Sus scrofa: one gene and its partner. The protein of the gene in region 1 interacts with the protein of each later gene in a pairwise test. Links are inferred from orthologs where the notes say so. Each region holds a gene or a part of one and is shown in the gene's direction. Other genes may lie near its edges. The genes, in order: ANKS1A and DOK3.

What was found.
Region 2: the proteins of ANKS1A (region 1) and DOK3 interact in a two-hybrid assay, tested with the Homo sapiens proteins (2 studies listed by BioGRID and IntAct). The link is inferred for Sus scrofa from reciprocal best matches to the Homo sapiens genes ANKS1A and DOK3.

Annotation. Positions count from the first base shown.
Region 1 is NC_010449.5:30,983,912-30,987,712, forward strand, and holds part of ANKS1A (ankyrin repeat and SAM domain-containing protein 1A), read left to right. Parts: intron 1-981; coding exon 982-1,080; intron 1,081-1,798; coding exon 1,799-1,951; intron 1,952-2,028; coding exon 2,029-2,136; intron 2,137-2,977; coding exon 2,978-3,142; intron 3,143-3,801. UniProt on the Homo sapiens protein: Regulator of different signaling pathways. Regulates EPHA8 receptor tyrosine kinase signaling to control cell migration and neurite retraction.
Region 2 is NC_010444.4:80,438,994-80,443,594, forward strand, and holds the start of DOK3 (docking protein 3), read left to right. Parts: upstream 1-1,780; 5' UTR 1,781-1,878; coding exon 1,879-1,944; intron 1,945-2,863; coding exon 2,864-3,169; intron 3,170-4,601. UniProt on the Homo sapiens protein: DOK proteins are enzymatically inert adaptor or scaffolding proteins. They provide a docking platform for the assembly of multimolecular signaling complexes. DOK3 is a negative regulator of JNK signaling in B-cells through interaction with INPP5D/SHIP1.

The DNA of each region.
Region 1 (3,801 bases):
TGTTCTTTCTGGAGAATTGGTTTGGCAGCAGTCTGTCTTGATAGCTGCCCTAGAAGAATACATATACAGGGGGATTCGTGCAGCATTCTTTGTAAAAGCAGACACTGGAAACAGTCATCCTTGAACAGGGACCTGGCTTAATCATTTACAGCACGTCCATAACTCAGATGGTTATGCAGCTTTAAAAGGAGAGAGGTCACACACTGATGCGCAACCTTCTGCTATACAGACTAAGTAAAATGAAGGTGTTGAAGTGTGTACTAGAATCATGTTTGTGTGAAAATGAAGTGTGCACATGTGTGTAGGTGCCCAGCCAGGTTCTGGCCAGGACATCCAGGGAAGTGGTAACAGGTGCCCTTGGTGGGGGGCACTGTGGCTGAGGGACAGGGCAGAACCCCTGACTTTGTGCATCACAATCCAGAAAACCCATCTCATGAGACCACTGTGAGTAATGAAAGACATCGCGCTAGGGCTTCGGAGTCAGATCTGTGTCAGTGTCTGACCCCCTGTGCCTCAGTCTCCTGATGTGTAATTCCGATGAACCCAACACACATGGATGTGGGCAGCAAGTGGGACAGTGCCCAGGAAAGGTCTCGAGACTGTCACGCAGCGAGTAGGCGGCAGACACCAGCCATCCTCACCATCACCGCCATGCTTGCTGCCCACGCGGGCTCAGCCCTGGCTCGCCCTCCACTCCTGGGCAGGTTCCTACTCTGAGACTCCACCTTGGAGCGAGGCAGGTTCCTGGGTGCCCGCCTAAGGAGGCTCTTACAGCCTTAATCACACAACCACGTCTGCGAGGAGTCTGGGGACTCGGCCTCCTGTCCTCCACTGTGGGTGGTCATGGAACCTGCTCCCCAGGAAGACACACCCAGCCCACCGGGGAACCTCTGGAGGAGGGGTGGCGGCCTGGGCGGATGAATGTCCTGCTTGCCCGGGTCCTCAGGCAGGAGGCCCTCACATTCTCCTTTCTGCTCCCAGGGGTCTAACGTGATGGAAGAGCAAGACCTGCGGGAAATTGGCATCACTGACCCCCAGCACCGGCGGAAGCTGCTGCAGGCTGCACGGTCCCTGCCCAAGGTAACCACCCATAGTTCTGCACCCACAGCCTTTGCTAGGGCCACCTCCCCAAGGCCCCCTGGGCCCAGAGCAGAGAAGGGGCATGGCTCTGGGCGTGCAGATCACCGTGGGGTGTCTCCCCCTCACCCTGGGGGCCCCAGTGGGGAGCACAGGGTCCTATTCACTTCTCTGCCAAGTCCTGAGGTCACAGAGAGCCAACAGAGTACTGGGGACAGTAAGGACCTCATCTGCCTCAGGAACCAGCTTCAGGCCTCTGCCCAGCACAGAGCCTGGTGCCCACAGGCTTGGCCTGTCACCTGCACCGAGCCCCAGCCAGGCCCTCCCTAGGAGGCCAGGGGCCCCCGGGGCAGCAGAGGAGGCCGTGGTTCCTGGGGGAGCTGTGGTTGGTGGCCCTGTGCCTCTGCTCAGCTCTGCTGCCCCGAGTGCCCCGTGCCTTCCTCTTGTCAGAGCTCAGTGAGGCCTCCTTCACACCCTCCCCCCGCCTGGCCTACCTGCTGGGGCGCCTTCCCAGCGTGGGGTGGAGGTGGAGGCGAGACCAGAGCCAAGAGAGGGAGGGAGAGAGGACTGTGTGAGGGGAAGGGCTCAGGGTGTTCAGGCCCCACACCTACCCCCGCCTCAGCCTCTGCTCTGGCCCCTGCAGGGTGCGTCTCCCTGGTCCCCAGGGTGCTTATCCCCTCAGGGAGAGTCGTCAGTCCTGCCTCTTCTCCTCACCCCACAGGTGAAGGCTCTGGGCTATGATGGGAGCAGCCCCCCCTCAGTGCCCTCCTGGCTGGACTCCCTGGGGCTGCAGGACTATGTCCACTCCTTCCTGGCCAGTGGCTACAGCTCCATCGACACTGTGAAGAACCTCTGGGAGCTCGAGCTTGTCAACGTGAGTACCGCTCACCCCGGCCCAGCCCACGGGGCTGGGGGCCCAGTGGCCCTAACCCCTCCCCTCCCCTTGCCCAGGTCCTCAAGGTCCACCTGCTTGGCCATCGCAAGCGGATCATCGCCTCCCTGGCAGACAGGCCCTATGAGGAGCCGCCCCAGAAGCCCCCACGGTTCTCCCAGCTGAGGGTGAGTCGGGCAGGTGGAAAGGGGTGTGTGTGCTTTGTGGTATTAGGAGCCTAGGAGCTTCTCCCAGGGCTTCTTCAGACAGCCATCCCGCCTCACTGTGTTGGGGCCAAGTCTGTCCTTCGGCCCAGGTTGAGAGAGGAACCGGGGCGCAGGGGCGGTGGGCAGAGGTGGTTATTGATCACATGCTTCCCATCAGCCTGGAGAAGCTCGAGATGGCCTGTAACAAAGTGTAAATATTAGCAAGTCAAATGTTGGGAAAAGCAGGAAAACAAATACCTGAATCCCAGACGGCTAGGGCCACGTCTGAGTGTCACATTCAGCTGTGCCCGGGACAGGGGGCAGGCGGAGCTGGGAGGAGACCCCCTTGGGCCAGAGACAAAGCCTGGAACACAGGACACCCCCCCCTCGACCCCACCCCAAGTCTTCTGAAGAGAAATCCTTGTGATTTTCAAAACCTCACAGATGCTTTGTTGCTCAAGCCAGGTCACCTCTGACTGAAAGGGGTTAGACGGGGAGCCCATGGTGCTGCCAGTGGGCAGGGATGTGCCTGGCCTCCAGGCCCTTAGAGCAGCCTCAGAGCAGACGTTACTGGCCCCGCTGGTTCTGAGACACAGACGTGGAAGCCAAAGAACCTGCTTCATACTCTGAGTCACTTTGGTAGCTGGAGAGCGCTTCCCAGGTCTCCAGTCGGCCCTCTTGGCTGAGGCCCAGGCCCCACGGGGTGTGCTCACCCTTCAGGACCCGGTGTCAGGGCTTCGGGCTGCAGAGGCCGCCGCATCTCCCCCAGGCTCCCCTGTGCGGCCCCCGCACTGACTGCCTCTCCCCGGCTCTCTCCCCGCAGTGCCAAGACCTGCTCTCGCAGACATCCTCGCCCCTGAGCCAGAACGACTCCTGCACCGTGAGGTCGGCTGACCTGCTGCTGCCCCCTGGGGACACAGGCAGGAGGCGGCATGACAGCCTCCACGAGCCTGCAGTGCCCGCTCGGGCGGAACGCTTCCGGATCCAGGTGGGCAAAGGTCCCCGGCTTCGTCTCAGCGGGAAGGGGCTCCCGGACACCCCCGCTGGCCCTGGGCCCCACACTGCTGCGCTGGCGTCAGGGCGGGGGACCCGGCCTCCTCCCCGCCCCCCACGGCCTGTGTCCCGGCAGCGGCTCCATGACCCCCTGCAGCTGTTGCTGCTGAGGCCTCCCCTGGGTCCCCACCTCAGAAGTGCAGCCCCACACCCTCTCCTCTTTGACCACAGCCGCTTCGCCCAGCCCCGCAGGCCACCAGCCTCTCCCCCTCTGGCCCCTTCCCAGCCTGGTCCCCAGCTGGACCTTCTCCCCCTCCTCAGCTCCCTCCTGCTGCCCCACAGCCCCCATATCTCCTGCCTGTCTTCTCTGCAGCCACAGCCCCTGCTGCTCGGGGCACTGCCTTCGGGCTCCCACCTCTTTTCAGCACTTCCCATCCTCCCTCCTGGCCTCATGCAGGCTTTGTCTCTCTCGTCCCCATCCTGGTCCATTAGATACAGACTGGGGGTGCCCCTCACCCCCTTGGGTGAGGCATAGCCTGGCTCCTTTCCTCTCAGGACTCTCTCTCTCCGTTCTGGCCTCTGGAAATTCCCCTCTCTTTTTGCAAGTATGACTGTGAATTTGACACGTTGTCCAGCACTTGTAGCTGCTCTATA
Region 2 (4,601 bases), on another chromosome or scaffold:
ACTCAGTGTGGAAGGAACTGCCTAACTGGGCCCCTCTCTGGGGACCGAGGGGATCTCCTCCAGGCTACCTGGACTCATGACTCAGGAAAGGACTACATTGGTGGACCAAGAGGAAATGGTTGGGTTTTTCTGATCTCTCTGGTTGGCTGTTATAACCTCCAGCCCTGCCCCAACCTCCCTCTTGTCAGTGTCTCAAGCTCTTGGGGCTTTTCCCAGGGGCCTCTTGGGAGGCGACTTCCTGCCTCAGGCCCCTACCCATGCAGGCTTTCAGTAGGGAACCCTCTGCTCCATTTGCTGAGGGGGAAGCAGATGCCACAGGATTCAGGCCACAAGCACCCACTGACCCAGCTCTGTGCCCAGCTATGAGTGGGGCTCAGGACCCAGATGAGCCAAGCAGATGCCCTCTGAGAAGTTCACAGGTAAGGGGACAGACAGATCAGCCTTGAATGAACATGGACTGTGGTCATGAGACTGCTGGCATATGAGCCAGGATTTCAACATCTGGCAAGGGGTAGGCAGAGAAAAGCGCTGGCAGCAGCTCCTCTGTGCCTGGTACTTCATGTATGAGGCCACAGGGTTATCCCAGCAGGACAGCAGTTGCTCAAGCCTTGGGCAAGTTACTTAATGTTTCTGAGCCTTGATTTCCTCATCCTTGAACTGGCAGTGAGAATGCAAAGGACATGGTATCTGAGGCTGCTGGAGCTCGCGACTGCCTGGGCCACAGTGGGCACAAAGCCAGTGAACAGTGCCCTAGGAAAAGATTTCCTGCCTGAGAAACTACAAACCCCACATGTGCTACCCCCCCACCCCCCTGCAAAAGAAAACCAGTATTCTTCAACCTATTAGATGTTCCTTGGCAAAGGTGGCACTGAATGAATGCCATGAGGCTGTCCCCAGAATCCAGGTCCTCCCACAAGCCCCGGCCCCAGGCTCCCCCAGCAAGAAGCAAAACTTAAAAAGCGTGTGAGCTCTCTAGGGGGCCTGCTAGGGGTGTGCCACACACGCTCACGTGGCTGGGGCCCAGTCATGGGGACTGAGGCCTTTGTGCTCTCAGACAGCGTGGCAGTCAGGGGAGGGCTCCTGGAGGAAGAGACCCCAGTGTGCCAAGCAGCCCAGGGGTGAGAGGTGCCCTGGAGGGGCCAGGCTAGGGGAGGTGGAGACCAGAACACACAGCACCTTGAGTGCTGGGCCAAGGAATCCAAGCTAGACCCAAGGGCACTAGGAGCCAGAAAATGTTTAGGGAGGGGAAACACGAGTAGGTTTGGGGTTGGTGGAGAGGTCCGGGTGGGCCCAGGTGGGGCCATGGTTCAAAGGAGAAATGCCAAGGCTGGCAATGGGCAGGGGCTGTGAAAATGGGGAGGAGCAAGAGAGTATTAGAACCCTTTCCGGGATAAAGACAAGCAAACTAACCAGGACTCCAAGTGGGAAAGCACAGAGTTTGCCTGTCTGGCTAGAGAAAGGTCCTGGAGGGCACAGGGTGGTGGGAATGCCAGGCCCCTGTGTACGGAAGAGCTCCTGCATGGGGGAGGGGTCAGAGCTCATGACTCGAGAGCCAGCTTGTGGTCAGATGTTCACACCCAGCTGACCTGGGCTGGCACGGGTCATCTGCCCTCGGGGGGGGGGGTCTGAGGCCCCTGCCAGGCACTAGTGGGCACCTTGGGTCAGCTTGAACCCCAAGGAAGGAGTATGTGATGCCCTCTCCCCCCATCCTAGCTCCTTTACTGCAGGCAGGGCTCCCCTCCCCCCAGCCCTGCAGCTGCCTCTCTGGACAGAGGGAGGGGGAAGTGGCCAGAAGGGGAAGTATAAGGAGTTCCCCTCCGGCCTGTCACCAGTCTCCTCAGGCCCTCAGAGTGGCGGCCCTGAGTCCCGGCCACGGCCATGGAGCCTCTAGAGACCCCCATCAAGGATGGCATCCTCTACCAGCAGCAAGTCAAATTTGGCAAGGTGGGGACCCTGGCTGCCAGGCAGCTGCCTAGGACAGGTGGTGGGCTTCCGCCCCTGCCCACAGGGACCTGGGAGGGTGGGGGAGGGAGTCAGGCTCCGGGAGCCAAACCGGGTGTGGGGGAGTGGGACAGAGCCCGTTCCTGTCCTCAGCCCAGCGTGGGGCTGAGGGAGTGCTTTTGAGACCCTGCCTCATTACAGACGGGAGCGAGAGTGGGGAGGGTCTAAGAATACAACCTTTGGGGCAGGGCAGAACCCAGGGGCTGGCTAATCCAACAGCCTTCCATCCCAACTACTAGTGACACCGAGGCCCCCTCAGGAGGTCTGCGGGCTGAGCTGGAGGAGCTCCCCACCTCCAGGATAGAACCCCATCCTTCAGAAGAGGGCTCAGCTCCTCCCAGCCCTGTCCTGGGGTAGCAGGCACTGCACACCCTCAGCTCAGCTGCAGCTGCTGCCCAGGCAGATAAACCGTCTGTTTCCTTTGCTCGGTATTATTTGCATGTTTCCTTCCTTGCCATCATGAGACTGAGGCCTCCTGCCTGCCCCAGCCTTGTCCTGTGGTCCAACTGACCTTTTCTTTGTGGGGGCTGGGCATCAACATAACTGTCAGGTGCCATGCTCCAGCCACTAGATAACTTTATAGACATTACCCAGTACAAGTCCTAACCCTGTGTTCTCATGGCCTTTGGAGAGACGAGGACTCTAGTGCCTATGGGGATCACAGGAAAGCATGGGGTGGATTTGAACCCAGGATTGAATGACCCCAAACACAGACTCTTCCCCTTGCCAGGCTGGCTCCAGAAAGACACCTGCTGCCTGAGGAGGTGGGGGAGGCAGAGGCCAGTGTGGGTGGCCAGTTGGCTGAGCGGCTTGTGCTGGGCTGAGCTGCAGGGAGCCCCTTCCCCATCTTTGTCTCCCGCAGAAGTCTTGGCGGAAGATGTGGGGTCTGCTGTATGCGGGAGGCCCATCAGGCGTGGCACGGCTGGAGAGCTGGGAGTTTCGGGATGGTGGCCTGGGGCCAACAGGTGACAGGTCTGGGGGGCCCAGCCGGCGGGGGGAGAGGCGGGTCATCCGCCTGGCCGACTGTGTGTCCGTGCTGCCGGCTGATGGTGAGAGCTGTCCCCGGGACACCAGCGCCTTCCTGCTCACCACCACGGAGCGAAGCCACCTGCTGGCTGCACAGCACCGCCAGGAGTGGATGGACCCCATCTGCCAGCTGGCCTTCCCGGTGAGCACAAGGCAGGCGGGCAGGGACTCTGGGGGCTGGCCAGGGAGACCACCTCACCCGACCTGGTTCATCTCCGTGCTCACTCATATCCTGTCACTCAGCAAGCACCTGCCAAGCCCCTACAAGCCTGGGAAACAGCGCAAGCCCACATTACAAGTCTTAGATGACCACACGTGCTTTGGAGAAAATGAGAGGCTGGATGGAACCAGAAGTGACGGGGGACGTTAGACAGGATGGTCCAGGAAGGCTTCTCAAGGGAGGAGAGGGCACCTCAAGGACAAATAACCCCCCAGGCAAAGATCTGAAGACAGAGTGTCCTAGACCCAGGTCTGAGGGGTCTCCTAAACAGACGGAGCGGCATGGGCAAGGGCTCTTTGACAGGGAAAAGCCTGGTGTTCAAGAGGCAGAAGGGCAAGTGTGGCTGGAGGATAAAGGGGGCTGATGCCAGGAAGAGGCAACAGTGGAGAGTTTGGTGGGAGCCCAGCTGAAACTGCCTTGGGCCAGATGTAGAGTTTCTGGTTTTATTCCAAGGGAGTAGAGAAACCTTTGGGGAGTTGGACCCAGAGACTGAGCTTAACAGGGTCTGTGATGGACCAAAAGGAAATGAATGGCGGTTCCTCAAAAATTAAACAGAGTTACCATATGACCCAGCAATTCCACTCCTGGGCATTTATCCAGGAGAACTGAAACAGGTGTTCAAACAAAACTTGTACAGGAATCTTCAGAGCAGCATTATTCACACTAGCCCAAAGATGCAAACAACCCAAATGTCCATCAACTGATGAATGGATAAACCAAATGCGGTTTATCCATGCAACAGAACATCACTTGCCCATGAAAAGGAATGAAGCAGTGACACATGCCATGACATGGATGGACATCGAAAACATGCTAAATCAGAGAATCCAGACGCTAAAGTCTTCACATTGTATGATTCTATTTACATGAAATAGCCAGAACAGACAAATCCATAGCAATGGAATGCAGGTTAGTGGTTGCGGGGTGTTGGGGAGAGGGGAGAATGGAGAATGACAGCTAATAAGTACGGGGTTTCCATTTGTAGTGAAAAGGTTCTAAATTATACTCTTTCTTTTTAGGGCCCATGCCTGCGGCATGTGGAAGTTGCCCAGCCAGGGATTGAACCCATGCCACAGCAGTGACCATGCCAGGTCCTTTAGCTGCTGAGCCACCAGGGAACTCCCTGTACACTTTAAAGTGGTTAAAATGATAATTTTTGTGTTGTGTATTTTACCACAACTCTTTTTTTTTTTTTAAAGGACAAAGTTCCTTGGTAGTCTAGTGGTTAGAATTTAGTGCTTTCATTGCTTTAGCCCGACTTCAACCTTTGGTCTGGAAACTGAGATGCCACATTAAGTCGCTGCATGCTGTGGCCAGAAAAAAAAAAAGAAAGAAAAAAGGAAATAAGCAAGAC